4 linked regions of the Neodiprion lecontei genome follow. The protein of the gene in region 4 purifies or fractionates together with the protein of the main gene of each other region. This does not show direct contact. Links are inferred from orthologs where the notes say so. Each region holds a gene or a part of one and is shown on either strand. Other genes may lie near its edges.

Region 1 (7,231 bases), on a different chromosome or scaffold from region 4:
CGTCCCAGGGAGCTCCGACTTCAATTCTAACTGTTCTCCTTGCTCGAGGTGGTGCCAAGGCCTCGGCTCCAGCTAATCTACCCCAAATGCTTAGACCCTCGACTAACAACAGTGGTTGCGGGAAATCACGTAACTGTAGCTTCCATTCTGTGCATTTGACAGAGACCCCTCTCACCCACAATGTGCTAAATTCAAGACCGTCCTCGGGCCAAGGAGATTCAGGGTCCATTTCTCTTAATGCCTTGACCGCTTTTTCTGTTCCGTGAATCGTCGGATCAGCTAATATTATTATTTCCAAATCTTGCATAGTCCAGGCACAGAGCCGCGTTCTTACAGGACCAGCTCGCTGCATTTGTTTCCATCTTTGAACGTATATTTCCGCATTCTTTTTGTTTAAACTGGCGTAGAGCTCGTCTACTTTACCTTGAGGAAGGAGCAAATGCGCTCTACACAACTCTTGTACTTTGGAGTCTAACATTGCTTGTCGCTTCAAACTTTCTTTGTACTCGTCTTCAAGAAGTTCGTAATTGTCTCGTAGGCGAACTTCGAAAGGATCATCTCTTACTTCAAATAACCATTCCTTGATCTGAAAATAAATTGCTTGTCTTAATACCGTTTACATTAGCAATATATAAATTCTAATAATGGAAGATGCTAACTTTGATCACTAGGTCATTCGGCAATTGCTTTTCCGCCATAGATTCTCGTGCATGAATTTGGTCAAGCCATTTTCGGATGCTCATCAGTTCATTTTGTATGGCATTTGTGTACTGATGTTCGTAAGGAAAACAAGCTTTACACGATTCTATGTAAAGGCCCCATGTCGTGTTCCAGTCCAAGTCAAAGCCCTCGTTATTCGCTCTTTCTAATCTGACTTCCTCACTTTCAGAAATTCGGATAAGCTCCACGCCTTCGACTGTCAATATATCTGCCCTATCCAGCGCAGCTCTCAAGTAATTAAACCTCCATTCACCCGCAGTCCAACGAAGCTCATCCAAAGATAACTCAAGGAAATGCCTTGGCGATATCACAATTGACAAGGTAATACCACCAGTAGCTAATAAATCCATAGATCGCTTTGTTTTTACGGAGTCTGTAGCAAATAATTTAGGGATGGTTTAATTGTCATATTTCCAGTTACGAAAACTAGTTATACAAAATACAGGATTTCTTGATCTGCAATTTCAACATTATCCACCTTTCTCACCTGTAGTTAAAGTTTCGCCCTGTTTTGTGAATGCTATCATTCTAAAATCTGCAGCTTCGTGCCAAAGCTGCAGTAGTCTAAGATGCAGGTTGGGACTCCAAGCCAAGCTGGATCCATCCAAGCTGAGATTAATACTACCGTTTGTAATGGCTCCTTTGCACTTCCTGAGGGCTAAGAAAGGACTTGAAAGAGCTTGCGCACGTTCACATAAGATTGGTTTATCTTTGTCTAGCGTTATAGCACATACACCTTCGGCAACAGCTATAAAATGATCGGAATTGTGTTCCAGACTCGAGGAATCCATGCGCACCATCACAGATACTGAAATAATTATATAGTCAACGATAGCCAACAGTTATTACTTATTCAAGAATATTTAGCTGCTCACATTCATTCTCAGCTATGAAAAACAAATTGCAATTTCTCATTTTCAGGTTGAACTGAATCTCATCTTGTTTTGGGATGTTTGACTGCCTGTGCATTAATGTCCTTCGCTGGTTGTAATACCTGAAAATACATTTCGTTAAAAATATACCAAAAATACTCTGAACATGAATTTTGTAGACTGCAATCACTTACTTGAAGCTTTGCTCTAAGAATCTTGCAAGCTTGGGGCTCCATTCTGCCCTCAGTTCGTCAAGAAATACTCCGACAGCATTTGGACGCGTTGTTGCTAGAAATACTCCAACATATAACGGGCTTCCCCATCGATGAGAAGTTCCTGGAGCACCTTCGTCTTCACTGTCTAGAGTCCACCTTAGAGATTCGACGGACAACTCTGTGTTCCACCCCATGGTCTTGTCTAAATGGCGATGAAGCATCAAAGTAGTGCGTTTTTCAACATTTTACCATTCAAATATTACCTGCTATTCTATCCAACGAAAGTTTCACGTGAGATAAACCACACGATGCTTCTTGACTGTCAGGTAATTTAATGAATAAATTTCCACCATACAGATCGGTTATAGCTCGTATTCCAGGCCAAGAGAAATTCTTGTTTGACGTCAAGTCGACGTCTGGCTTTGACATATCATAGCTACTGCTGAGTAACACTGTGTCCCAATCGGCATAGTCAAAAGTCACGGAGAGATTATGTAGCTGGGTCGCTATCCGTAAAACATCTTCTTCCAACTATTTTCATAAATAATTATTAGTTCTCTGGAATACTTTTAAAGCGTGTTGCTATTTACCCTAGAATCTATTGACAGTGTTTGCAGAGTTAAGACTGGCTGCTTTCCACGAATCGATAGTCCATCCAATTTCACAGCTAAGTACAATTGCGGACCTGCTGGTTGGAATCTGGCATTCACATGCAGTCCTTTCATCATTCCCTCGAGGCCAACTCGCCCTCCATCTTCTCTCCCAGCAATCACTGAAGAACTCCCCATTTTCACAGTCAAATTCTAAAAGTTGAAGTTTCAGGTAAATGTGTCGCATGGCAATTAATACTAAGTAGCAATAAATTTTTGACATATTCTTTACATACTTTAGGTATCATTGGAGCCAATCGAGCTAGCAGTGGTCCAGTGAAACGATCAAGTGCTTTGCTAGACTGCTCAGTGGGCGTCAAAGTTTTTCTATCTTTGAAAAATTGTAGAAGACCTGCCCCCCCAGACCCCTCGGTTTGAGTCACGCCTATGTATAGTTTCTGTGGAGAAGAATGTATTCAATGTAGATATTTTACACATTTCAGCTTCACTGGCTGACATGTCATGAAACGAACCTCCACAGACAGTTCCCCCTGTGCCTTTAACGTTGCCTCAATGTTCCCTGCGAAGCTGATCTGTGCCAGACAAGCATCAGATGCGTGTCGCAATAATTTCATCGCCCCACCAGCAACAGCAGCAGATGCAAGAAGAGTCCGTGTCCCGTGAACAACACTACCATCCAAACTTAGACTCTCCGCACTCCCATTGGCCAACCAACCATTCCCTAGGGCTAGAAGACTCAGGTTTTCGACGTGAACAGCCATGAACTGAATGAAGAGAATTGTTTTCGTACATTACGAATTGAATTGAGTAAATTACAAATCAGATTATTGTATTATTGCCAGCTATGCCCTAGAATACCTGTACAAACGTGATAATGATCGGCGGTATTTTCTTGTTTCTAAAATCGAGTGGTTTGTTATAATCTTTCTTTGGATAAGAAGGTTGAACCGGGACATCTTTGTTGATACGGACGTCGCGCATTACAACGGCCAGCAGCTTAGCAACATCGCTGCTGAATAAGCTGCTTCGTACAGTAATTTCTTCGATTTGCTGAAAGATGTATTAACAAGACAGTAGAAAAGTCCTAAATAGAGGACATATGGGTATTTTGAAAATTCCTCCATCAGTCATTACATGCACGTACCACAGTAAACCCATTTTTGGTAACAGTAACATCTCGCAGTATGAAGTAGGGCAGGGAAATGTGGCCGACTCTAAGGTGAATTTTGTAACGACGTTTTACGAGCCATGCCAGTAGTCTCGGTATCACCCTAAGCATGAGACAGTGAATTTGAAAGTGCACGTTGTACGACAAGTGAAAAAAACAAAGTCAAAATTTTTTAAAAATATAGAAGAATCTTACCATGTAAAATTGCAGTAGAGAAAGAGACAGATGAGAATAAACGCGAGTAGCCCCGTCATTTTGAAAATTTTAATATAACAGTAGCATTTGGGTGTTACGCTGCCAATTATAATCGTTGTGTAATAAATTATTTACATGTAATTCTAACCTATGTACATATGTTATACATACAATACTTCAGTCTTTCGAAATTGTACATAGGCGCTTAGTCAGCCCGTAGCCGATGGTTAACTCATATCAGTAATAAACGATTTAATTTCGTGTGGCAAGTTTGGTCACCGAAAAAATTAATCGTCATGTCTTAAGCCACTCGTGATAGCAGAGGCCCAATTAATGAAATTCGATTATAAAAAGGATAAAAAGTATCTACGAAAAATCTGACGTAGGCGTGCGTGAATGACAGCTACGAACCCCACCTGATCTGACCGATGTAAAAAAAACTGACCTATCTTTACGGAAACTATAAAATGGACATGGTCGATGAGTCATTGATTATCATTAAATTCCATTTTATCTATCGTGGTTAAAAACTGTCGAGAAATAACAAACAAGAAGTCGCGTAAACACCGTATTTATTTATTTCACTTTCGTACCGGTTCGTATCGCTCGTAAAAATCCCCTACGCGTATATTCGTCACTGACAGATGCGTGGAATCAACGACCTTGCCGAATGCCACAAGTCAAGTTTTACCACGCAAAAACCGTAATGGCCTGTTGGTTTAAGTCACACGCTAGTTTCTCGCTGCCCAAACTACAAGGAGGATAAACAAGTGATACCCCAGCGTCTTCGCATCGAAAAGAGTAGGTATTAAGCTCGTATTCGGATAGTTTTATCTGGCGATACTGTAACGCAATTAAGGTTAGGATATTTTTAGATTAGGTTAGGCGGACCGGCCAACGCTGCACAGCTGATTGCGAATAAGTTTGCATACATCTTCTTCATCGGGTTTTCACCCTCATAGTTTCTGAATGTACTTTATTGACTGCAAAATGCGTGACGATTTGGATGCTTTACTTGTGACGCCGGGGGAACGATACTGTGATTGCAAAGAGGACTGTCTATGTGGCGAGCAAAATGGTATTTATTCGCTTGTGATTCATATTTTCAGAACGATCTGACTACATTTATTTCAAATATTAAATTCAAAAATTTACAGTGAGTTTTTTCGTCGGCGTAAAATGTAATTTAACCCTTTCGGCCCGAGCGGTGTCTATAGTGACCAAACGCCCGACGCTCGCTCTGTCTGAGCGGTGACTATAGTCACCCAACGCCTGACGCTCGCTCTGTACGAGCGATGACTGTACGCTTGCCGCGACTGCTCAGTCAGTAGGGACGGCGCGACGTAGAATGTGTCCGTACCGAAAGGGTTAAGCAACTATCTTGCTTATTTTTTCTTCCTAGAGATAGAATGGCAGTGGGACGAGAAATATGCCAGCAAGACTTTGCGCCTTTCAAAAATGAACCTAGAGGTGAATTTCAACCCCGGCTACAGCATGGGAACCTCGGCTGTTCGAGGTAACAAATTAATGGCCAGTGGAAGACATCATTATTGGGAGGTCAAAATGATTACCCAAGTTTACGGAACTGACATTGTGAGCGTTAAATCTGTTCTCAAAGAATCGCTCCGTTTATGGTACAGACTTAACAAGACTTATTGCTTCCTTTGCTTCCATAGATGATAGGCGTCGGCACAAGCAAAGTAAACTTAGAAAGTTCTGGTCTCACTTTTACTTCATTACTTGGTCTGGACTCGGAGTCTTGGGGTTTTTCGTACAAAGGAGATATTCAGCATCGGGGACAGAAGCAGAAGTACAGCCTGCCCTTTGCACAAGGTAGTCTTGTCGGAGTTCATCTGGATACATGGAGAGGAACATTGGAGTTTTATTTGAATAGAAAACCACTTGGTAAATAATATAATGCTTTGAATGAGTAATCTTTTAGTTCCGAATCTACAGAGCATGTTTTCCTGTGCCAGGAATCGCTTTCACTGGACTTAGAGGCTTAGAATTATATCCAATGATCAGTTCCACAGCTGCACAAAGCAAAATACGCATAACGCACAGCAGCTCAATCCCAGTGACATTACAACTTGAGTGCTTAGCTGCCCTGAAACCCTCGCTCCGAACTATGCTACTAGAGGGTTTTCCTGGTCTCCGCCATCTCACGACTAGCATTTTCGCTAATATACTGCAAAGCAGTTACAGTAAGATTCGTAATAAATTTTCTAATATTTGACCACATCAGGCCTTACTCCAAGAATATAAAGCTTACTTTATTTCAGACAAGGACGAAGATGAATTATCGGAAGATTTTAATATTTTGGATGAATTCGATGTTGCGGTAGTAGGTTTTAAGAAGAGTAGACGAAGCTTGACCCAAGACGATGGCAGTATGCCTGGCACTGCGAGACGTGAATGTGAAATGTGTGGGAATACGACTTCTGTTCTATTTGCTCTACCTCTATGTACGATATGCTGCGACTGAGACCATTGCGCTAATGATAGGTTGTAGCGTGAACGTGCGATAGTATCGCACAGCAGGTTTTCTCATCTTTTAAATCAGGTGAGCCAGGCTGTTATACTTATTCTAATTTCGACGATATGTAAACAAAAGTTTTTGCATTAAACTTATTTCATGTTGTAAAGTTGATGTATATTCATGTCTTTATTTATATTTCCGGTGTTTTGATTTTAATACTTTCAAGTAAATATGTATATAAAAAAATGTATGTATATGTATATATATATATATATATGTATATATTTAGTAGTTATTCTGAAAATTGTATCTCAATAAGGTGTAAAGGACAAAACCTACATTCATAAAATTTTCAACTTTTATTAAAAAATTAAAATACTCCTTCAACATTTCATTCTTTTTTTTTACAAACATTACACATTAAATGATAAACTTTGATGTGCTAAATTGCTCGTGATTTCATTCACCTATTCTTTTGACCTAACTACACTCTTCTTCAATTTTTTAACCATCTTCCCATTTACAGCCTTGTTGCTTGAGCCACGTTTCTTTTTACTTAGAGCTAAATCGTTATTATTTAATTTTGCGCAGAATACAACAGCCTGGGCCCAACCGGCAAGCGGGCCCCAAAGATTGCGCAAGAATGTGCTGACTTCGTTGTGTATTTTTGGAGTAACAGTCTTTTGAGTTTCTAACTGCGGCATATAGCATGCTCGAGCTACTTGAAAAATATGCGTGTCTACTGGAATTGCTTCCAGATAACCTAGTGACATGAGGCATATACAATCAGCCACTTTAGGACCAATTCCTGGAAGTGTAATCAACTTTTCCCTCGCAATAGGGTAAGATTGATCAGTGTCTTTATGCAACTGTTTCAACCACGTTTCGCCACCCAATTCTATTAGCCTCTTAGCGGTATTGGCTATATAGCCAGCACGATAGCCAAACCCAGCTTCCTTTAGGATCATTTC
Region 2 (7,191 bases), on a different chromosome or scaffold from region 4:
GAGGCAATATTAACTCGAAAATAATAAAGCATACATGGTACAAATGATCAAAAGCCTAGATAGTGTGCAGCAAATAGAAGAAGCTGTCATTGTAGGCATCAACGAAAACAAAGTGATGAAGATCTCGCTTAATGCTATAAAAGAATCCACCATGAAATTTTATTGTGACAAAATTGATTATTTCCTGTAGAAAATAACAGATTATGGTAACGCAAATAAAATTTTTTAACCAATGATCACAAAGCTTAAGAAGTGACATTTATAAACAACAAAAAGATGCCAGATGCTCATTGCTAAAGTAAAATGTATAAAAAATAACGAGATCAAAATAGTCAGTATACCAGTCGCTAAATTACAACTTGAGAAGAGTAATTTGCAACATTGCCAAAGCAATCCAGGCAAAGAATGTCAACACAAACATCGTCAATATGTAGTAGTCGGAGAGCTGGTGAATCAGAGCTACAAAAAAAATTGAGAAAATTTGAAAATATGTATGCAGCTGAATCTCGGTGTATATGTTAACAATCCTTAGTCAGTTAGCGAGATTATAGGATACCTGACCATGTTATCTAGTGAATATGCAAAAATGATCGGTCCAGTGCAAAATCCGAGGAGAGGCTGAAAATTGGTATACTGGTGTATTGAAACATCACGCATGCACATACACTAGCTAGTTCGTTTGATGCCAGGATAGGGCTTAGTCAGTCAGCATTTTGATGATGCGCGAAAGCAGACAACGTGCCAGGTATTCGTGTTGTAAGATTTCCTTGTAATATTTATTTTTAGTACAGTGTTATCTACAAGACATTAAATGAACAAAATCTTACTCACAAAATTATAACGAATGAGACGAAGTAACCTAAACGTTGGTGGTTATAAAGAGCAGTCAATGTAAGTTCTACTACTTCAAACAGTCTGGTTCTACTGCAGTTAATCTAAACTCTATTCACACAAAATGCATATTATTTCTATAACAATTATAAGATATCTCGTTTTTTGGTTATCGTTCAATAAAATCGGTACCGTTGTTTAAAGAGAAAGAATTAAAGAGAGAGAGAGAGGTGTAAATGTATCGCAGCCGCCTTGAATGGTTTTTAAATTGATAAATGGATTTTCAATATTCTTAAAATTCTTTATATATTTATTGACCGTTATTACTAATACCGCTTGTTACACCAAACTACTTATGCTGCTTCTGTAAGTATTAAATTACTTTGGATAAACGCCCGGGGGAATGTGAGCATGTTCCATGCCTTGCACTGTAACCTGTATGCATGCTACCTAGGGTGTAGCCTATTTTCGGGCATCATCAAAATGCTGACTGAATAGGTCGGGTCCCGGAATTAGAGTGACTAACAAGTGGATGTGTATCCCTAATGCTTCAATACACCAGTATACAAATTTTCAGCTTTTCCTAAGATTTTGCACGCTACTCATCATTTTTACATATTCAGTAGGTGTCCCAGAACATCGCTGACTGACCGAGGATTCTTTAAACTACATGAATTTATTCAGATTTTCTCAATTTTTTGTAGCCTTGAGCCACCAGCTAGCAGACATATAAATCTGCAAAAACAGCGAGATCTGGGAAGGAAGGAAGATTACTGAAACATGGTGCTTGAGCATGGATACACATCAGCGGTTATTACACCAATACACGAGACTGAAACAAGCAGTACATGTATAGATCACATATACAGGGTGAGTCAGTTAAAACGGCCAGAATGGGAGGAGCTCAGTTGACGGATCAGGCCGTACCTCTTAGCCAATTTGGAGCGAATCAATTGAAACACCGAGAATGGGAGGAGCTTTGTTGACGGATTAGGCCGTAGCCCGCGTGTTGATATCAAAGTAAAGTTTGCAGTCTGCGTACAGATATTCAGTGGTAATACGAAATAAAGTAACGATATGACAACAAGTGACGGATCATAATAAGAGTTTATTCCCTCACTTGGTGTCATATCGTGACTTTATTTCGTATTACCACTGAATACCTGTACGCAGACTGCAAACTTTACTTTGATATCAACACGCGGGCTATGGCCTAATCCGTCAACAAAGCTCCTCCCATTCTCGGTATTTCAATTGACTCGCTCCAGATTCGCTAAGGGGTATGGCCTGATCCGTCAACTGAGCTCCTCCCATTCTGGCCGTTTTAACTGACTCACCCTGTATGTTAAAAGAGACAATACCAAAGAAATAACAGCAGCAGTATTACCAACGAAGATTGAGTCCCATAGAAGCGTACGGCCTGCAGGCTATTTGAAGCAAGAAAAGTTGGGGTGCTCGGACGAGCTATCCCCCCAACAGCTAGGTGTCGCTAGTGGCGCCTTTGCTTGTGTGGCTCACGTACAGCGCTCTATACTAATGCGAACAGTGTCGGTGTGTTGGCTCCGACTGGCGAGTTGGGGTGATCGTGCTAACTCTCTACTGTCGACCGACGGTAGAGCCATCTTACGGATTTACGAGTCGTGGAAAGTTTTGCTTCAAGCGGCCCATAAGCCGTACGCTTCTATGTGACTCGATCTTCGTTGGTATTGCAGACGATGACCACGGATCACTACACGACCATAATCAAGATTGCAAATGATATGATGAAGTAACTTTATTATGGACTCATACAACCTATGATATAATATCGAACAACAGTCTGGGAAATTGTGTAAAAAATAAGCCATTGACCATCTGTAAGTGGTCCAAGATCTACAGAAAATAGCAAACATCCCAAACATCAGGTAGACATATCTAGCAAACATAATGATAAGGCTCAAAAAAAATCGACTGAAAACTGAGGAAAGAAAAGTACAGTAGGAATATATAACTCGGGCTAGCGTACAAGGAAATCTTGTACATCAAAGGGTTGACACAACCAGAACACATTGCCGTAAAAAAAGGATTGCAGTAATTTTTTTTTTCAGTTTTTATAAGGAGGATGAAGGTACTGAACGGAATATTTATTATGAGATTAAGTTTTTTAAAATAGTTTCAGTAAACAGGCTTCCGAATAGCTAATTGACTCTGCAAGTTAATTTACTGTGCAAGATTCGGGATGTACAATTACCTACATGTATAATAGGTCGATTTCTGTGTAACAGTCATGAATCTTTAGAGATAAAAATTACGCATGGCTCAAGAGTTCATTTACACGCTAGTCAATTGTGCTTAGTCTTCAATTCAACAATCATAATTTAAATATTCTTAGGGTACATAATTTTGAAAACGAATATGAGCTGTTACCTCTCTGAAGATGCTTGACAGCTTCGTCAAATAGTTCCAGTTCAAGAAGTGCTTGGCCTAGGAAAAAATGACCCTTGACTAGACAGGGATCTATATCAAGAGCTCTTCGACAGTCTTGACAGGACGAGTCCCATCGTTTGAGTTTGAGGTGGCACAAGGCACGATTTGTGAAATATGTAGCTTGAGTTGGATTTTTGATCTATAACAAAATATAGTGAATAATTGTCTTTGAGCACTGATGTGAACCTTCATTCAGGTGGAGACTCCAGTCGAAAACTGAACCAATGGTCACGATAAAATGTTAGCATTTGTGGTGACTATTGTACACCTCTATGTTTTGGAAGAATCCTCTGCACATCACGCAGCACAAAGCGCACAATTAACTGTGGCATAAGAACTTCGTCATCCACTTGATCCTAAATCAGGTTATTCCACTAATACAAAACTGCACATGTATTCAAAAGTCACAAGGTTCAAGTTTGCAACATTAAAATAAAACCCTGAACAAAAAATCACTCTTATGATCAGAATGATTTTATGGTAGCTAAATTTGCAAAATATGAACACGTTCCGCTTCATTATGATATATCTAATGTTAGACAATTCTAGAGCAACGGAATAATAATTTTTTCTCCAATTGTATTATTATATCAATGCTATGAACACCAGTTCATCAAAAGTTAGTCATATATAGTTATCATCAGCTGGTGTGTGTGGGATCCTTCTAAATATGAAGGCGTACGAAAATACGTACACGTGATATAATAATCCAATATCTCTTGCTTTTAGTCATCGAACAATACCTACGATTGCTTTTGTATAACAACTGGCTGCATCCTCATATTTGTGCAAATTGAACAAGCGGTTCCCCTGTTCTTTCAACTCCTTATCAGAAAGGTTAGTTGTTGAATACATCTTACTCATGTCGCTCGATATGTCAGAAATAGGGCAGATGCTCAATTTTTAATACACTATAGTGCTATGCGCGGTTCTTTTAAGGGAAATAAAACTGGATTTGAATTAAATCTGTCATTGTTGTATAACCTCAAGTACGTTCGCTTCCATTTTGGTTATCCATACAAACCACGGTAACAAACCATAAGTCACGGCCATCAGCATTATCAGCTCCACCCAGCCGCCGTTGCTTAAGGGTGCTATTTCATGAGCAGTAAAAAGCAGCAGTGGTTTAGTAACTTACAAGTTTTCACTAGCATCAGTCTGGTAAGTTTACGCAGCAGCAGCGCTGCTCATGAAGTAGATCGTGGCTTCTTGTGATCTTATGGTGCCGCTGACCTGGATCTGAAAGTTGTAATCGAACGAAGCGCCCTCTGCGTAAGTTTCCTCGGTTCCAAACCATTCGAAGGTGGTACTCTCCACCGGGGAGTAGCGCAACACAATATTAGACAAAACACGGTCGGTAAGAGGCCTGAATCTGAGTCGGTAACCATACCAACAGGATTGACCCGAATTTTGCATGCAAATGATGACGTCATGTGTGTAGCGATTGCATCACGACCGAACTGATTATTTTGATAGTTTTACGCTGAATATAGCAAATTCAATTTATTGTTCCGTGAAACACCCTTGAATATGGGACATTCTTTGACGAATCGGAGAGATTTAGATAAAAATCGACCGACACAATTTTGATGTAGCTTAAAATTTTTTCACGGGTTCTATATCGAAAAAATAGGGATACGTATTCGAGGATTTTTTTATTTTACATATTTCGTAACATAGAGGGGATCGAAAATTTGATAATTTGGTGTTTTTTGGCTTGGAAGACTCACTTTCAAAAATTCATAACGCCGGTTCAGTTTGAGCTGAAAAGTTCGTTTTTTGAACCCAAAGCTTATAAAATGAATTTTAATGCAACAATTGTTTCATTTACGATTATTCCGAAATTTATATTGTTATAAATAATTAATATGTTTAAATCGATTTTTAGCAATTGCCTTCACCTCGTAGCGAGTTCTCAGCACGACCATCGTATTCTCCATCAATTCAAAATACGTTATGGATAAAAAATTTGACGTAGAATACGATGGTTGTGCTAAGAACTCGCTACGAGGTTGAGCCAATTTTTAAAAATCGATCGGAACATATTAATTGTTTATAACAGTATAAACATCGGAATAATCGTTAATGAAAGAATTGTTGTAATAAAATTCATTTAATTAGCTTTGAGATGAAAAAAACGAACTTTCCAGCTCAAATAGAACCGGCGTTATGAATTTTTGAAAGTGAGTCTTCCAAGCCAAAAAACACCAAATTATCAAATTTTCGATCCCCTCTATTTTACGAAATATGTGAAATAAAAAATCCTCGAATACGTATCCCTATTTTTTCGGTATAGAACTCGTCAAAAAAAATTTCAGCTGAATCAAAAATGTGTCGGTCACAAAGGTGTTTGGTTGTAAAAGAATGTCCCATATACATTAAAACATATCGCGCAATATTAATTTTACACAGCACGAAGTATTTTCAAAATGATTTCATAAATATCACCATTCACCATTTGTAAATATTTGGAAATATGTTCGAAAAATACGATTGAAACAAAACGGGTACGAATCGTTGTGGTCTCGTTTTATGAAGTTACGCCATCGGTCGCCCCCCCCCCCCCCCCCCCCCCGCCCAACTCCGCTTCTCCTTGTCGCAAACTTGAATGGTCATGTTTATTTTCCGTCAGTGCATTACATTGTATTCGATTATTCGCTCAGTCTACGGATAGTGACTGTGCGCGAGAAAAAAAAATCTTTGTGTCGGCAGACGACTGTGCTCGAACATTTTGCATTTCCAAAATAAAGAGTATTTTTCATTCTTCTTCAGAGGTTTTCTATGAGGTATATACATGATTATCTCTGGTGAGTATTTATACATATATATATATATATATATATATGTACATTATACAGTTGTATAAAACGTGCACCCCGACTTACGTTTTTTTCGACTTACGCCGTGAATGCCGGAACGACCCATAGCGTAACTTCGGGGTATTACTGTTTCGGAATCATTCTGAAATTGTACATCACTTGTTACACACAACTCTACTGACAACAATGAAATAATTTTATGTTCGAAGCTATTTTACTAGTGAAAAGGGTTTCAAAAAATGATTATACATAATATTGGAACACTTTATTCATGTTACTATGGATATATGAAACAATTGTTGACATCGACGTTGAGGATTATTTTTATACCCTCTGAAATATTAAATGCAAGGAAATAGTATCTGAGATTCGAGGTAACTATGAAGCTGCGGGTTGTGCGAAACAGTTCCTTCTCCCGGTTGATGGGAGTTTCTAACATCCTTTGCGAAGTAATGTAATTTGAACATAGTTCACCACTCCATGAAGATATCCTCGCGGCATGTGACATTGCGTCCGTCCAACGGTTACGACGGCTTATCCTGTAAAATATAAGCGTGTTCATTTGGTTGTTTCGCTTTTTCAATGCAGAATCCATAACATGATTAGTACTTGTCGATAAAAATATACTTTGGCAGAGAATTCGTACCCTCCCCTCCTTATCTTATAAGGACACATACAAATACATGGGTCCTCTTCTGTTCTCTTACAACCATGTGTCGGCGCCATCTCACTATACCCAAAAATGTTAAAAGTGAATGGTCGAATCTGATGAAATGGAATAGTGTGATTAAAAATTTTGATCATCTTGAATAATCCGAAAAGTTGAGATAATTCTTTCGAAATTAAGATATTCATTTTTTACGAATCACTCTAAATTTCACCGTGTTCAATATTTTACTACCGATAGCAGATATCTAATGTACGGTCATTCGGAATGAATATGAATGGGAAATTCCTCGTCAAACCCGACGGATTATTTGTAATCGGAAAGATTTTTTACAGAATGTATAAAATGGTAGAAGCCTCGCCAAAAAATGGTATCATTAAACAATTCGTTCGTTAATAACAATTACAA
Region 3 (7,008 bases), on a different chromosome or scaffold from region 4:
AAGAATTTGGGACGAATGACTCGGCGGTAAATGATTAAAGATCCATTATATTCGATTGGCACCATAAGCCAAACATAGAAAAGGCACTGTGAAAATAAATTCGTTTTTCTTATATAACATACACTTTGCATATTGATATTGAGTGATAACCAGGCATTTCTTGCTCCAGTCAAGGTAATATAAGTAGTCAAGGGCTTGTCACTTTATGATGATTTTTTTTTGACGCTGTAAGTAGGAGCTAAACGAAGCATTCAAACAACCTTGACGCATGAGTTTGACTCTATAATAATAAATCATTCGACTACTGGCTCTAGTTATCAGCTTCAGTGTTTGTATTTATTACATGCTGCGTACAACTTGGGTAAAACGGTTTGGACTGGAAAATCATAATTTTCAGTTTAGCCACTACCACAATAAGGAGTTAAGATATATGGTGGAACAGATGGAATAACTGAATACGGTGTGAATATCATATGAACCAGTGATGTTTTATAAAATGCTTATTTGTAATTGCTTGTGAATACATTTTTTTTTCGTTTTTAAAAGTTTGTAGGTTTTGGACTACGATGTTAAAATTTACAGATCATTCATTCGTTGTACTAACACACGAAATATGCACTCTTGTATTTTTGAAAAAACCAAAGAAAAAAAGAATAAAGATTGATATGTTACCTCGATTATGAATTATCAAAGAAATTTCAATGTTTATTAATCTCAAAAACTAAAAAGTTGATCCTTGAATAATAGAATGAAAAGAACTGGATCTATAAACTGGTATTGAGCAAAGCTTATGTTCTTTTCATGAAGGCACAACTGTGTAATAAATTTTGATCTGCTTACCTTGATTAGCCAGTAAATTGGAAGCCAAAATACGATATAATCAGCAAAAAATTCGATGATGGTGAAAACTGCAAATACAACCCAGTAAGTTAGCCATTTTGTATCGTCATCTTTTTGGGGACTTTCCAGAGCTTTCATGGAGCAATAAGCCGGGTACAAGAATCCGATAATATTGCAGACCAACTGCTGGCCTATCCCCACTACCAAATAAACTGCGAGAAATCCCACAGATGCTGAAAAAACCAATGGTAAAATAATTCTACTACTAGAAGTAACAAATTCTAACATTTGCATACTATTATTCGTGATAAATACAGCGAGGAAACGATGTGGATTAACGGGTTAGAGATTTTAAAGGTAAGTAATTTCGTTAATAAGTAGTTAGGCAATTACCATATTTAATTACTGTGAAGAAATCTTTTTCGGATAGATTATTATGAAACAAATTCCGTTCACTATCCATACTTTCAACACTTTCTTTACGAGCCACACCTGCCATTGCGGATGTAGTCTGATAAATTACAAGTTGGAAATGTAGCCAATCTTGTAATTTTGTTGACAGTACTTATCTTGACAAATGAGGTAAGCTAGTGAATTCATGATAACAGTTTATCTGGCTTAGTAGTCGTGATGAATGGCCAGCTTCTATTAAATAATTTTGAAGTAAATGAAGGCAAGGAGTGTGTCATGTACATACGTGGAATTTGTGCTTTAATCAACTTGCGGTCATTTTGCAAATCGGTTAAGATTGTGTTAACGTTAACTTATCTGGAATCGAAATGCTGTCTGGAGAAAAATCAAGACCACGTTTACTGCGTGTATAAAAACTTAAATAAGGTTGATCAACAATTGATGTTTGCACGAAGTAAGAACGAAACCCGAGTTAGTAAATTGGGGCCGAAGGATAATAAAACTGAAAATGGAAAGATTGTTACATAAAGGAATGACGGGCAAAATAAGTGTTCAAAGTGCAAAATTCATGACAGAATGCGTGATAGGTAACCTAACTTACCTAGAAAAATGTAAAGCCGGTCTATCCCGATCTTTTGTTCAGCAATTGCGAAAACATTTGTCCACGGTTTGCTTTCATCTCGCAATGCTTTATCCAACGATTCTTTTATCACTGCTATTCTGGCCATTTTTGTTTACAGGAATCTGTACACCTGCTTTCAATATAAAAACCAAAGCGTCAATCGCCGTCAGCGGGTTGATACTCAATGCCACTCAATGCTTTAGTATAGGAATCTTATTCGACACCTATTGCGACACATTACCACCTGAATCGAGCTGGGTGATGAAATAACTAAAGATTAGTAAAACTTCTGAGTTTTCCCCCACGTTTGTTGGTAATACAATTTTTTTCGCAGCGCACTCTTGAGAGATAAAAGTAAATAAATTTTCATTGTTTGCTGTTATTAAAATCAGTCCTACCACTCTTACTAGCAATTTCCTTTTCAACATTTATTTTTGTCGCTGTGGTAATAAAATATCATAAGTTTTCAACGTAGTTTTCAATTGGTTTTCAAATAAAAAAGTGGAAGGGGAAACTTGTGTCAACCCGCTTATTACCATCGAAGGTCTTTTACCGCCGCTTCGTCTTTTTTGGGCTAGCCTTAGATGTAGCTGGATCTTACCACCGGCAGGGCTACATACCGGAGAATGACAATAGTAAACGGCAACTTGACAACAGCCTGAAATCACCATACAACATCACATAACACAACTGGACCAATGTAATGAAAATATACACCATATATATTTATAATATGCCGACTACATTTGATTTATCGATTCTCAATACAGCCGTTCAGTGTGCAGATTTGTTATAGCACTACGTAATAGATTACCGGCGGAGTTTGCGAATGCGGCTGGTTGTCGTTTGACGTAAATGCAAATCTCGTACACAGCTGAGCCGGCACGATTCTTAAATTCTCAATATTTTCGAATAGGTTTACATGCAAAGCATAGACTTATAATTCTACTTATATGAAGCAAAGTATATATACTTTGTTCGTATCAATTGCGTGCCATTTTATGCGCCAGCTCTGCGCCTGTCATTTTAACAATTTTGGCGGGATATTCGCATAATTTGTATACAATGTGTAATATACATACTAACAGCAACTATCATGCGTTGACTGATATCATGTGTATTCACGTCCGTTTCTCCATTTATTATCCATAAAATTTTTACAATCACAGCTGCAGTCGGCTGCATTTTTGACCGTACATAAATAATAACACCTCTTATTTTCTGCATAAGCATGCACAGCAGCCGACGTACCGCCTTCCGTTAGATCGGACCAATGAAAGACATTTTCTACTCGATACGCCAATGCGCCACATACCAGTGTCGCACTCAGCAGTTGGTACCGAACTTTCGCGATGTTTCCCATCGAAAAATTATACATACATATAGGTGCTGAGTACCGATTGATTGTCAGATCCACGAAGGCTGTCAGATCCAAAGGAAATGAATTATCACTCGTAACGTGTTGTTCCACCGGGTCGTAAAATTGTGAAACACTATTTTTTCGGAAGTTTTAATAGACGTTAATTGGAATTACGGTAAAAGTGTCGTCTCGAAGTAATTACGAGTGGGAGATAATAGCCAGTTTGCAGAAATCATGGACAACAAACAGAGAGATAGGTTAGTCAGTATCCTCGATCAGGTCGAGGCTCGTGTTGAGGAGTTGAGAAGAGAAGCGTGGGAGCTTGAGGAAAAGAAAGAGAACTTATTAAGCACGTTGGACGCGCTTCAAAACAACGAAAGTGTATTTGAATTAGTGACCGGTAAGTTTGGATCGAGTTCGGTAAGTTCGATCCATTTAAATCCGTTGACAACAACTATGAACAGAAAATTCTAGAGGTTAACGGAAACAACAGGAATCCCCGAGTTCACGTTGCTACGAAATAATGAGATAACAACACGTAGTAAAGAATTTTTCCAAAATTTCCTACTGCTGTAATAGAAAAAGACAAACCTGTAAACAAAATTGTGTTTTCACCGTGAATTGTGAAATATTGCTATGATTCTTTCTATTTCATATCTAACACCATTATCCACAATCACTTTTAATCAATTATTTTTTTATTCTATAACCGAGTAGAGGAGAGAGAAGAAATCATGAGATCGGTGGAGAGGTTGTGGGTGCGGACCTCGACAGTTGAAATCCTCATTGAAACTCAGCGAAATACAGATCAAGAAGAATCTCTGCACAAGGTAGGAAAGACTTTTTTATGATTGATGTTTTGCTGAATGAAAATCATTATACGTAACCATTAAACATCCTATTTTATCTATGTTTTTCCACGTAATTACGCAGTTATTTTATTTGTTTATATTTATATTTTTGTAACACAATTACTTTTTTAATTAGTGAGTAGGTAATTAATTTCCATAATAAAATAGATGTAACAGACCACTGGCTTGATAGTGGTTGACCACTGGGTGGCCAGCTAACGTAATCGTCACTTTTTGATGGCTTGCATCAAGACCAACACTGCCTGCTTATATGTCAATAATTGATTATATTACTAGGGTGGTAGAAAATTTAATATGTGGTAATAGTTTATAATACTAGAATAGGATTTTTCATATCTTGAGAGACGTACGATTTCAAAACCGTTGTTAAGGCATTTGCTGTAGCATGAATTGCTGGTGATGAATATTCGATATAGCTAACATATTTAGTGAAATTTAAAATGATTTATTCGGATATTCTACATCGAATTATTTATAATTGATAATTAACCAGTGAAAACTATTCGTCACAATTTTTTAGTCCGTAGTATATCTGATCCGATCTGACGTCGTATGTTTTGTTACAGGTAAATGATTTGATCGACAGCTTGGTCATCCAATTGCAAGAAGATCCCCAGGCTACACGAGAGCGATGTAGGAGGTTCATGAGTGCTTGTACTTCCCATGGTCCGGAATATTCAGAACAAGTTTTCGAGTCTGCCATTTTAGGTTGTACTTTAGATGATCAAAAGCGTATCAAAAAAAGACTGCAGGGGCTGCTAGATTACATTAGTAAGATGCATACAATATAATTTTAACGAATATACGTTTAAGAGCTTATTGAGAAGATTTCTCTTTACTTTGACTTTCGAGCAATCATATTATATACCATCATGGTCTTTAACATAGTATATTATTAGAGTTCCATAGCAAAGAAGCAACATTTTCAATGAAACATTGCAGATATCATTTCCTCATAATTGATCAACCAGATTGCAGGTGTTCCTCAATTTCCTAGAGAACAAGCTAAACGACAATGAAGAGAAAAGTTCGAATTTCATATTTACGATTGTAGATAAAAAGCAACTCTGATAACACATAGCTAACGTATAGAGCATGAAAATATGAATTACCATTCAGCTACATTAGAGGAAGAAATCAAATTTAATCTAAATCGAAAGTTTGGTCTGTTTGCTGTCAGTCCGTTTTCTGTACTTATTTATTACATGTAATGTGAAAAAGAAAAACTACCCAATGATAATTCCTAATTTAATTCAAATACTTGATATTACACCACGACAAATTAAAACATATTAAAGAGTTTGTAATACTTTTGATCTGTTGAATAATAGGCACAATCGTCTGCAACGCACGTATTAAAAGATTTTTTTTTAAATTGCGACTTCCAGAGAAAACGGAATTATTTTTTTATTCAAATATAAATAGAATAATTCTTGAATAGAATAATACTGTTTTTCTAATCGATTAAATTAAAATCAAATTCAAACCTGGTGCGAGAAATATAGAACCTGTTCCTTATATTTTTACAATTGGTCGCAACTGTTATACTATAAAAGTTGTATCATCAATTGTTAGCTTAGGTATACATGTGTGATAAAAGGTTAAAAAAAATTCGTGAAAAAAATTACTTCGTCATAATCTATAAATTGATTGCGACTAAATCAAATTTATTTCGACTGATAAGACGTCATAGAAAATGACGATTATTTCAAGACAATGTAATGTCTCTTGTTATTATTAAAAGCTGTTATACAATTGGGAAGACTATCGAGAGTCATCAAGTCTTGTTACATTGTGTTCTAGCATAAAAGCCTTATTTTTTTATCAAATTCCTAATAACATATGTAATTTTTATCCTGTAATCTTATAATAAAAGCGTAGCACTGGGCTGCACTCTATGTGATAGAGTACGAACATTTTTTCTTTTTTATACGGATATGTTTCACAGACATAGTTGACCTGCTATTTATAATCCGTATACATTATATGTATATAGTATATGTATATTGTGTAAAAATCATGTCTATTGTCATTGCTGTGATAATGGACATTCATGTGGAATACAAACATCGAAAAGACAGAAAAGAATGTACGTTTATCAATATGCCTTTTCCACAAAAATATTCATTGGTCGTAACGACACACATATATAGGTATAAATCGGACCTTAAACATCAAATTGTCTCCAATAAATGTGTCAAGCTGCCATTCCTATATAATTTTCCCGGTATTATTATATAATACACATATACATGTATACGTATAAGCGCAATGTGTTTCAATCGTGTCTAAATAAAAATTTATGCCGAAACGTAAAATTCATTGCAATGGTAATTTTCTACGCTGAGTAATTTGTATTCTTTGTTCAGGCAAATACCGCATCTTCGTCACAAAGTTACCCAATCATCAATTTTGTCAATTCTTTCATTAGTCTTATCAATTTTACAACATATCTAAAAGGCCGTAATTTTATTACACAATACAGCTAACGCGTTTTTGATAGTAAAAATGTCTTTAGCCCCAATAATTTATAACCACGTATCTTGGTTTTCAGACATGAATTTGCATATTCACCACTGTAATCGCTGTAATAAAATGATAAATTCATCGTGGAATACGTATTGTGCGGGCTCCAATGTGTACGACGAGTTTCGACTAATTGTAAGTTACACAAGCACGCAACGCTGTACATACTTGCGTACAAACATACGTATAGTATTTTTTATTTTTTCAATTTTTTTTATCATGTATACTCAAGTTGTTACGCGTAACTCACAGGTGTCTGGTGATGCCTGCGAGGTATTACAGGTATATAACATACTTACCTATATATATAGGTACACTTATACTCGGTCATTGGCTCTTCCGCAAGGCCTTGTAAAAGGTGAAGGCCACCCGTCGGA
Region 4 (10,552 bases):
AAAAACCTGGTACTTAATAGATTAAGGATGTCTTACAACCTCGAGAACAAAATAGTGATAAGCTGGTTATAAACTATAATCAGAAATCTGTATACCTCATGCATATTTGAAAATGACAATATTGAATGCACAATGTAATGTAATTCATAGTCTCAAAAATGTAATAAACTTGATTTTGAAAAACTATATTTAATAAAATCGTTTGATATTTATTACTACATATTATTTTTACGGCTGAACGGCCCTAAAATTTTCTGTCGGAAAGCGATTTTTCGATGCGGATTCTCACCAACTTGATGGGAACTCAAAATAACTCCCAAATACGGTAGAATCGACAGCTGCGATAATACCTCAAGAAGATTCGTTTTTCATCTGTAACTTTTCCGCAATTGATAACTGTGAGTTGAAACTGCGCGCAATCGACTAATCTCGATACATTACATCGGATTAAGGTTTAACTATATTTATTTAAACTTTCTCCCGTTGCAACCGATTTTTAGAACCCTACTACGACTGGACTGTGTACCCTCAGGAATTCAAAAAAGATAACCACATCGTAAGATCAACAACTGCGAAAATACAACGAAATTTTTCTGTTTTTCGACAGTAACTTTGGAAGCCTTAATTGCGTTTTCTCTAATGTCTACATACTATATAAAACATTGACTCCTGATTTAGAAGATAGTCCAGAATAAATTTTGCATGACCTAAAGAAATTTCTCAGTGGTAGAAATGAAGCTGGCTCTTCGGACTGATTCAAACTATGGGTACCCAAAATGTACCTTGGCTAGGATGTCGTAGAATCGTTGCTGAGAAAATACTACCAGTTTTCAGGGTTCAGCTTACTGCAGTAAATCAAGACGAAAATCCACGAGAATTTCATAATTATTACCTTTACTGATAGATAAGTTGAATCAGTTGATTTCATTTCCAATGAAAGACAACAGAGACCCTGTTTTATAATTTTTCAACTATATATGTTGCAACGACGAAAAGAAATCAGCACAGGAGTACAATATTGTATTATTTAATGCATGTAACATGAGATCAAGTTAAAACAACATATCATTATAGACATACAATATATGTTAAGTCATAGTTTTATTTTCTTACGAGTATACATAATGCAGTCTGAGGTGTAAGTGGGTCCAAGGCCTACTTCATGAAGATACTCTTTACCTTCATTCCGATAATCTCAACTCTTACATTGAAACATCTGATATCATCGAACATCTACTCCACAGAAAACATTACTTTCTAAATTTGATTAAATATATATTTTAAATTATAATCGATGGCGATAGGAATATTTCAACACGTTGCTTATGTCAGCATTACAGTTTTTCTGGTCACATCGTATTCATCAGCAATAATTATACCGAAAAAAAATAGTAGAAAACCAAAAATAAAATAGAGCTGTACAAATTTGTAAAGAATCGTCCCTATCACACAATATATAACTGTAAAGATAACAGTTTTTCAAATATTCATGGGTTATTAATTTCAGTTTTAGTATATAATTAATCCAGGGTAACTGACTTAGCGCAATACAAGGCAAGATGATATTTTTTTCTTTTTGCCTTGACATGCCTTGATTAGTATAGCATTGAGTAAATATGTGCTAAACTTTCACTCATCATAAGGAGGAAAATTGTAGCATGGAATCTTTTGTAAAACACTGAGATAAATCACTGTGATTCAGACTAGTAAAGTTTGCATGCATCGGTTGGATTTTTTAATATCAATGATCCATGCTACAGTCATACGATTATGCTAATGATATAAATATATTCGATGGTTACTGCCACGTCATTGTATTTCATACCATAATAGAACGTTTCAACACACGTTTACATGATTTAATAAGGCAAAGAACAATAATGGAAGAGTTATTGAATATTCGTTCAACATTTCGACTGTTGGTCACTGTATCTCCAAGCCTGCAGCTTATCAGAAATTGAAAGTCTCATCTTCAATTGCGCTTTTGATAAAACTAACAATCAGCTACAAAAATTAGTGCAGCAAATTTTCATATCAAGTAAACGTTTAGTAGACTTATTTTCATTCATCTTATAAAGTGATGTAACATAATGAAACGAAGAAGAATAATATTTCCGTTACCAATTGAATGCAAGTTGCATCACGCTATTTGGCAAACGGAAAAATAAAGTATATGTGATAAATTGCTATATTCAATTTGCTCAGATTTTCATGAAATACGGAAGAAAATAAAATTATATATTGTAATATTTGTGATTGTTCGGTCCTGTCAGATAATGAATTTCTTCTGGTTGAGAAGAATTGACAGAAACATCTATTCATCATGTTAATGTAATGATCAAAATATTCAGGTCAAAACCGAGAGATTTGCCGTGTCGAAAAATCAACTTTTCCTCACTTGTAAACGAACAGTTAATATTTTCATCAGAATGCTAATTGTCAACTGAACATATTTTTTTATCACTTAACATGCTGAGAAAAAATGGATTTTACACTAATTTCTTCAAATTTCTGCAAATAAGAGGAAATTTTGTACGTCGGAAACCTTAATTTGATAGGTATAATTGAAGACATTTTATTCTGTCACATAAACAGAAGAAAAAAACATTCAGAGAAAAAATATGAAAATTTAATAACTAGTCAGATATCTGAGCAAGCTACTTTCGTCAAATTGAACGATACAGAAACCCAAAGATCAAATGGATATGATTTTATATACAGAGGTACATTTCATCTCATGACGTACACATATCTATTATATAGCAGTAGTACTGAAATAGAATTAACCAAAGTGGGCAGTAAAACCGTGGGGCATACTGCCTGCTTGGAACTGATAGCCACCACCATGATGTCCAAAGAAGGATTGGAACATTGCATTTGGATCCATTTCTGCAATAAAAAAAATTACGTGTTAGCATAACTGTTGTGTTATAGGGATATACAGGGTCTTTCATTTTAATCGCCCCAGGCCGATTACTCTGAAACTATGCAAGATACGAAAAAATATTTCCTGCAAAACATTTATCGTTCGAAGATGAAAGTGTCAGTTTTATCGTAAGCAGAATTGCCAAGGTCAGATGAAAGTCAATTTAGTTTTTTTTTTTTTTAATGGAATAGTATAATTTTTTTGTCAGTGTCAGAAAAGTCAAATACTCACCGTATATTCCACCCTCCATATCTTCCAAGTCATGACCGTTGTCATATCGCGCACGTTTCTTGGGATCTGAAAGAATGCCGTACGCCTCGCCAACTTCTTTGAACTTTTTCTCCTGTTCTTTTTTCTCGCCTTCAGAAGCATTCGCGTGTTTATCTATAAAATTTGAAACTCATTATGAAAAAATCATCTGTCAAATGATGTGGTTCAATCGCCAAAAATTAAAATGACGGTATATATTACCTGGGTGATGTACCATGGCTCTCTTTCTATATGCTTTCTTGATATCGTCGGTTGACGCATTTTTGTCAATGCCAAGAATTTTGTAGTAGTCTTTTCTCTTGGATTTTTTCAATGCAAGCTTGGCTTCCTGCAGCAATCTTTTGTTATCTAAAATTAAGATTCGACAAGTTAAAAATCTAATTCAAGGAAAATTATGCTGTGTTTCTAGCAAAAATTGATTTTTCTTGTAGGCTATCTAATTTCACGGTACCTCTGCTCTTGTCCATTTTACATGCTTGTTCGTAATCACGAACAGCCTCTTCAAAATCTCCAAGTTCCATGTAGCAGGCGGCTCGTTTAAGTAAAGCTTTAAGGTAACTTTCATCGAGCTTCAGTGCTTCGGTACACTCTTCTAAAGATTCTCTGAATTTTCTTAGCTGGAAACATATTTATCGTAAAATCATATGGGAATAAACCACGTCATTGATGGCAAAAGTGGCAGTAAGCTGATGAATTACAATGCAATGCAAAAAGGAAGTACAGCTTTTACAAAAAATTATACATTCCGCCTAAGCAAATATTCAAATTTATATGTTTGGATAAAAACTGTGTGTTTACCTTGGCATATATCAATGCTTTATTGAAGTGTAATTTAGCATTGGCTAATATGTTCTGAGGATCTATGGTTAAGGCTTGGGTATACAGATCGAATGCCTCGGCATATTTTTCCATTTTAAACGCAGTGTTACCGTCTTCTTTTTTCTGTTTTAAAGATTTCGCTCTCTGAAATATGACAAGAATTGAAGAAGTATTATAATCATTAATATTGTTTTCAAGATGTTGTAACGATAAGAGAGAAAAGTTTCAAGGCATAAGAGATTTAAGAATATTTCATGACTTCATTTGTGTAAGTACAAACCTACGATATGGTTGAAACTGTAGTTGGATTTTGATGTTACCTTGTAAATCTCCATCGCCTTAGTATGATCAGGTGCTAATCGAAGAACTTGTTGAAAATGCATAAATGCTCGATCTATGTTGTCTTGGTAGTAAAGACACATGCCGCGTACATAAATTGCATCTACGTTCTGTTTGTTAATGTGTAAAACATCGCTAAAACAGACAAAACATGATTAACCCACCGTGTGAACACTTGATTTTTTACACCTTTTGTCCATACACTTTTTCAAACTGTTCTACGCTTTCAAGAAATCGGTAAAACTTCAGGGTTTCTTCTCAAAGCGTTAACTATATTATTCAAAAGTTGGCAGACTCAAAAGTTTTCAAGTATTGTTCACAAAAATTAATATTCAGAAAACGACTGCTCCCTAAAAGACTCTGTGTTCACACGCAGGGTTAAAACGGTGAAGGATACCAAAACTAAAACAATCAATAAATATAACAAACTTGGATATTTCCTGTGCCTCTTGAAATCTGCCTAGAAATGCCAAGCATTCTGCTTTGCGGAGCTTGAATGTCACACAAGAGGTGCTCACATCACAACAGCGGTCCATGCAATATACAACCTGTAATAAATGTGAATAAATTTTGAACATTTTCATATAGAGCATTGATTTTGTTGTCAGATCTCGTCAAACTTCTATAATAAATGAATCTTACTTTACGAAAATCTTTTTTTCCATAAGCCACTTCTGCTTCTTGTAAATATTTCTCAAGGTGTTCCAAGTTTTTTTTCTCCGAGAGAATAGCACTGTTACTGGGATCCAGCTCCAACACCTTTTCCATGGCTGCTCTAGCTCCGATGTTATCGCCGACAATCAGAGAGCATTTCATAACTCGTGGATAAGCCTTTAAGAATACTATACATGTCACAAATATTTCAGAATTTTTTAGGGTGATCAAAAGTTATGAACAAAGAGAAAAGACTGTTGAAAAAATCTGCAGCAATATTAATTGTCAATGATAGTGAACTCAAATGAAACAACATCCATACCATGTGATAAAAATGATTCTGTACAAATTCGAATAATACCAACTGAGATATTTACAATTTGAGAAAAGGATGATGTTTCATTCTTGTTCACCATCGTGGCATAAAAAGTATTGCTGGAGATTTTTCAGACGAATTTTTCTTTCTACCTAACTTTTGATTCATACCTTGGGTCTCATTAATCTTTAATAAATGAGTCTCTTTGTTGCGGATTTCATAGTGTTTAGACTTATATACCTTTACAAATCCTGGATCAATGGCGATGCATTTCTTAGCATCTGCCAAGGCGTCGTGATATTTACCCAGCATCATATAACACGCAGCGCGGTTTCCATAGTACGCTGGTGAATTGGGACATAGCTCTGTAAAATTATTGTTCAGTTGAATAATTGATCACAAAATGAATTCTTCACGTTCAGAACAAACGCTTTTCCATTGTTATTATTCATAGACACCTACCGATTACTTCAGTATAAACTGCTAAGGCCTCTGCGTATTTCTTGGTTTTGTAAAGTTGATTGCCAGTTTCTTTCTTCATTTCTGCCAATCTGAAAATAGAAGAAATATATAGGTACCTAGAATGTTTATTATCCATCTTCCGTGCCTTTATCTGAACACTAAAATAATAGCAAAATATTTTTCAAATTTTTCATGTATGTATGTCAGAAAATGAAAGACAGCATATTAAAAATAAAAATTCAGCAAAAATTTTAACCAACATTTGAAAGATGATTTGATGGATTACTCTAAACTTTATTAACGACAAATTATAAGTAAATATCACATATATATGAGAAGTGAACCTTTTGCACAGATAACAAGCAGATCTTGGGAAACAACAGATGTTACATAGACACTAATTGTCTTAAAGAAAACTATCAAGAGCTTACAAAATAAAATTGAGTCGTAATATCACTAGTCAGTGCCCAGAGAATTGAATTACGTCGAGCGATTACTGGAAAAGTATGAGACCCAACAAAAAAAATACAACAGACTTCCATTATATGACCAATACTATAAATTTAATTAACTTGGAGACTATGGCCAATAAAAGTGGGCATCACAATAAGGCTGACGTTAGTAATATCATTGCAACAAAATATAAAGCAGTGAAAAAATCATTATAGCACAATTTGAGAATGACTTTCAAGGAATTTATACAAATATATTTTATTTATCATGGTTTGTTAAGAGAAATTGGATAATCCTAAAGATATGAAGAATCGTTGCCTAAATATGCATCATTACATTAATATTACCAACTTCATCCTCCATCCATGAACCATATGATTAGTGTTCTTGATTGTGATACCGATTGAGGTTTTAGATAAGAATTAATGTACTTGATATGAATGAACTATGTGCAAAGAAAATATTGCATCATTGTGGCCTGGAGGTCATATAAACGCTGCTTTCTGTAGCTAAGCATGCTTGTCGATGAAACAATGTGTGATCAAAAATGTCGACGAGGGTTTAAAAATCTGAAAAGAAGTTGTTAACCACTAAGTTAGGAATCGAAGGGAATTTGCATGGCTGTCAAAAACACAAGTTGCAGCGAGTTGTGATTTTTCGGAGCTCTAGAAGCGTATCTGGGATATAACAACTCACTCTTCAGTGGTAAAGGGTTGTATTTCTTCAATAGGATCAGGATCATCGATGGGGTCCCATTCTTCATCGTTCAGTTGTTCAGCCATATTTTATTTATTTGCAAGCAACTTGAGTACTAAAAGTTATTCGATCACCACAAGTTAGATGATTTATAAATTATAAACGACTTTTAGATCTAATGCGAAGAAAACCGTAACTCTGCAGGGCAAGACTGACAGAACAGAATGTATGGAATGTCCCGTGGTTCCCGAACATCAAGATGGTCTTTGAGCTAAGATTTATGCCCGTTTTTACTTCCAGCATCTACAGACATGACTTTGAACTATGTATGAATTTGTCGTTCCTAAATTCTAATCGTTATTTTTAGCATGTCGACGTACGTCTGGTTAATATTTTTGAAGTCTATGGTATGAGTTTTGCATGTATTGCCGACGCATCTGGTAATATTCCTGCGGCTTTCGAACTCCAGTAACATTCGTATTAAGATTTTTATCCGAGGCGTTCCAAGAAAGTAATTTATGAATATGTAATTAAACAACTAAAACACCTAACATAGTTCTCGAAATTCCATTCCCTAGCATAGCCATTTGAAAGAAGAAGAAGAAGAGATCTGGTAATATTGATGAATAATGGAGTATGAACAAATTTATTTGTGCAATTGCACGTTCGATTTACTATTCAAATTCAAATTCGCAGATTTCTATGTAGATATGCAATTGAATATTCTATTTATAATTATTTTAACTACTTTGTCATAATTTATAGATTGACATATATACAACTGTTTTTATAATCGTAAATGAAAATTTTCCGAGCTCTGAAAATCGCAAAATAGCAAGGATTTTTTCAGTCTATATCCGGCCGATTTTGAAAAATAGGCAACTTAATTCTTGGATACGCTAAATCGACGTGATTATGCGAGAGAAATCGATTGCGCGCACTACAAATACGTTGTGAGCAACGTCTCAAGAGTTACAACCGAAAAATGAAAAGTTTCCTTCGTAATTTCTCTGCTGTTGGTCCAGCGGACGTTATGTTTTTTCTGCATTCATGAGGGACCAATTAGTCTGTCAAGGATCATAGAAATCGATACTAAGACTAAAAATATTTCGCTTTATAAAAGTAAGGCCCCCATTGTATTTTTGGTGAAAATATTGAAGATTTTGGATGATGCTGGAATCAATTATTTGATACATTATATCAACGTAATTTTGAGAAAGGAATCAATTGGGCGCAATCCGAATTAAAGAGTGACAATCGAAAAATGTAAGATTTTCTTGATTGTTAGGCACGGGCTATGTGGTAAAAAATATCAATCGTTTCAAACGATCGTACTATCGATCGTTTCAATTCCTTAGTATCGAACAATCCATGTTCTTCTGTAAATATCGAAAAATAGATTGTTAATATCGATGGCGAAAACAGGCGCGAAAGTTAAAACATTTCTAACTATAATTGTAAAAAGAAAAATGATCGCGAAAATTTTTAATTATCATTATTGTTAATTAAGAATGTGTACAAAATATGAGAATTTAATATAAAGTAAATTATGGAAAGTTAAATATTTAAATACTCTAATTAACAGCGAGAAATTTCGTAGAAAATACAGATTTATTATCGACCTTACAATTAGTAATGTGTATTTACTTATTATAGATAAGTTGCTGACAGATGTTTGCACAGAAATTTAAATTACTTTCGGCTTGACGATATCGATAGTTCAATATTTTCCATAGACTTTAAAAAACATCGGTAGTCGAAACATCATGAATGTATGTCGCCCATTCCTATCGTATGTTGTCCGACATATCGCAAGGTGTTGTATACAAGTATTTATTTGTACATACGCATACGAATAGACGTGAGTGTTTGTAGTCCAAGCTTAATAATCCAACTTACGTTGGATCTTGTCGCGAAAGCAGGCGCATCCTTATGAGCTATGCAATTGGCGTATCGCCAAAACAACGAATTCAGTAAGTAAGTATAGGCGATTGCCGTTTATTAGACGAAGAAGGAATTCTCGCTCTCAAATGTTTACGATAATATTAATTTACAATTGCGTTTAATAGACGAAATATTTGGAAAGTTATAACAGAACTTTACTGCTAGTGTTGATAATACAAAAGATATAAAACGAGAATAAAAAAATAAAAATAGTGCAAGTCAATAGTTGCCAATTCACAATACATTGGCTAATACGATTGCTTTTCGTCCAAATATATTGGAGATAAGCTGACTACTGACGTCGTACTTAAAATTAATGATAATTGTGAAAAATTTAACTTTGTAAGTCAGGTGGAACAGTCGAGGGTGATTGCAGGTGTAAATGCAAGAGACGTCGAATGGGTCCGCCAAGAATATTTCCAACAGCTCCTGCACCTCCTGCTTCACCTTCTGCGCTTTCTTTTAAATTTAGCTCCATAGTCGAATCTTCAACGCAAGTGTCTGTATTAGATTTTTCTCGTAATCCGCTAAGGTGCAAATCCATTTCTAGTTGAGAGTCGAGCAGTCTCATGTACTTGTCCAATTCACCACCTTTATCCTCCTCGCTTCCACCCAACGAACCTTCCGAGTTGCTGTCGAAATCATTTTCATCTCCTGGCACAACAAGATCCAAGATTCCACGTAAAGCGGAATCAAATGCATCTGCATTGAAGTCTATCCTCGTATCATCGGCATCACCATTTGCTCTGATTTCGCTGTTATCGTCATTTGACTTGGACAGTTGGCTGAATCATAAATCATCACTATTGGCTATGCAACTCAGACCAGATCGAAGTCAAATTAAAGATGAATTGGTTAGACCGTCAGAATCAAAAGTTGGGATAGAGAATAAAACTGTTTTGCAAAATTTCCAGAGATGTTGCTCAAATCAATGATAGTAATCACGAATGAAACAACATCCCCACTGTATAATACAAAAGATTCCGAGCAAATTCAAATAGTTAAAGCTAAGATGTCAAGAATTTAAAAAGTTTTACACTTAGAAACGTTCCAAGAGCTTAAACTCTGATGTTTTTGATCAGATTCTAATGTTTTTCGGCTTAGTTCACTAACTAAATTATCACAAATTGTATGAGAAACATGCAAGAAATTTGTAATCAACCTATAGCTATAATGCACAAATGTAATTGCTGATGAAGGTCTGTTATACTTTAATGACAGTAGTCAGTAATATATTTTTATCCACTCTGCAGATAATGGTAAGTAGAAATTTTTAGGTGATCTATGGAAGTCTCTATGGTGAACAAAATGAGCCCATTAGCATTAGAATCGGATAAAGAACAAGAAAGTTCAATCATTTCAATCTTTCTAGTTATGAAAGCTTTTACTCCAATTATTGATAACTTATTATATAATAGATAATAGAATTGCTGTTCCACTCGTGTTCTTTATTTATTATTCATGCAAATAATATATTCATGGAGATTTCTTGAACGATTCTTTCTCTTTTCATAATTCTTTAATTTGACGGTCTGGCTAATTTACTCTCAAAACAGTCTTTTCATTCCAAAATTATGAACAACGTACCCCGGGAACTGAACTCCATCTACGTCGCTTGAATGTTGCAAAAATTCCCGAACTTTCTCTTGGATTGATGGCGGGTGCTGATCTAC

The links.
Region 1: the proteins of dnaJ homolog subfamily C member 7 (region 4) and protein KIAA0100 purify together in Homo sapiens (co-immunoprecipitation; 3 studies listed by BioGRID and IntAct, counting the BioPlex papers as one, with this or other methods). This does not show direct contact. The link is inferred for Neodiprion lecontei from reciprocal best matches to the Homo sapiens genes DNAJC7 and BLTP2.
Region 2: the proteins of dnaJ homolog subfamily C member 7 (region 4) and E3 ubiquitin-protein ligase CHIP purify together in Homo sapiens (affinity purification with mass spectrometry; 3 studies listed by BioGRID and IntAct, with this or other methods). This does not show direct contact. The link is inferred for Neodiprion lecontei from reciprocal best matches to the Homo sapiens genes DNAJC7 and STUB1.
Region 3: the proteins of dnaJ homolog subfamily C member 7 (region 4) and BAG family molecular chaperone regulator 2 purify together in Homo sapiens (affinity purification with mass spectrometry; 7 studies listed by BioGRID and IntAct, with this or other methods). This does not show direct contact. The link is inferred for Neodiprion lecontei from reciprocal best matches to the Homo sapiens genes DNAJC7 and BAG2.

The regions. Positions count from the first base shown.
Region 1 is NC_060264.1:2,171,594-2,178,824, reverse strand, and holds the start of protein KIAA0100, read right to left. Parts: upstream 4,056-7,231; 5' UTR 3,953-4,055; intron 3,881-3,952; 5' UTR 3,841-3,880; coding exon 3,782-3,840; intron 3,690-3,781; coding exon 3,563-3,689; intron 3,469-3,562; coding exon 3,277-3,468; intron 3,183-3,276; coding exon 2,931-3,182; intron 2,856-2,930; coding exon 2,694-2,855; intron 2,611-2,693; coding exon 2,398-2,610; intron 2,339-2,397; coding exon 2,071-2,338; intron 2,010-2,070; coding exon 1,787-2,009; intron 1,715-1,786; coding exon 1,596-1,714; intron 1,529-1,595; coding exon 1,208-1,528; intron 1,094-1,207; coding exon 660-1,093; intron 587-659; coding exon 1-586. Other genes in the region: SPRY domain-containing SOCS box protein 3, read left to right, coding at 4,751-4,859, 5,184-5,374, 5,458-5,686, 5,758-5,985, 6,064-6,266; N-glycosylase/DNA lyase, read right to left, coding at 6,728-7,231. UniProt on the Homo sapiens protein: Tube-forming lipid transport protein which binds to phosphatidylinositols and affects phosphatidylinositol-4,5-bisphosphate (PtdIns-4,5-P2) distribution.
Region 2 is NC_060262.1:16,938,173-16,945,363, forward strand, and holds the start of E3 ubiquitin-protein ligase CHIP, read right to left. Parts: upstream 4,316-7,191; 5' UTR 4,303-4,315; coding exon of another isoform or gene 4,282-4,302; 5' UTR 4,162-4,281; coding exon 4,045-4,161; exon of another isoform or gene 4,031-4,044; coding exon of another isoform or gene 3,992-4,030; intron 3,437-3,991; coding exon 3,238-3,436; intron 1-3,237. UniProt on the Homo sapiens protein: E3 ubiquitin-protein ligase which targets misfolded chaperone substrates towards proteasomal degradation.
Region 3 is NC_060264.1:8,008,858-8,015,865, reverse strand, and holds BAG family molecular chaperone regulator 2, read left to right. Parts: upstream 1-3,230; 5' UTR 3,231-3,467; coding exon 3,468-3,633; intron 3,634-3,950; coding exon 3,951-4,063; intron 4,064-4,671; coding exon 4,672-4,896; 3' UTR 4,897-5,469; downstream 5,470-7,008. Other genes in the region: receptor expression-enhancing protein 5, read right to left, coding at 1-86, 841-1,073, 1,853-1,979. UniProt on the Homo sapiens protein: Co-chaperone for HSP70 and HSC70 chaperone proteins. Acts as a nucleotide-exchange factor (NEF) promoting the release of ADP from the HSP70 and HSC70 proteins thereby triggering client/substrate protein release.
Region 4 is NC_060261.1:11,734,444-11,744,995, reverse strand, and holds dnaJ homolog subfamily C member 7, read right to left. Parts: upstream 7,185-10,552; 5' UTR 7,022-7,184; coding exon 6,936-7,021; intron 5,945-6,935; coding exon 5,787-5,944; intron 5,690-5,786; coding exon 5,565-5,689; intron 5,186-5,564; coding exon 4,997-5,185; intron 4,903-4,996; coding exon 4,784-4,902; intron 4,490-4,783; coding exon 4,336-4,489; intron 4,160-4,335; coding exon 3,995-4,159; intron 3,814-3,994; coding exon 3,648-3,813; intron 3,545-3,647; coding exon 3,398-3,544; intron 3,311-3,397; coding exon 3,158-3,310; intron 2,890-3,157; coding exon 2,783-2,889; 3' UTR 1,085-2,782; downstream 1-1,084. Other genes in the region: protein ecdysoneless, read right to left, coding at 9,214-9,664, 10,467-10,552. UniProt on the Homo sapiens protein: Acts as a co-chaperone regulating the molecular chaperones HSP70 and HSP90 in folding of steroid receptors, such as the glucocorticoid receptor and the progesterone receptor.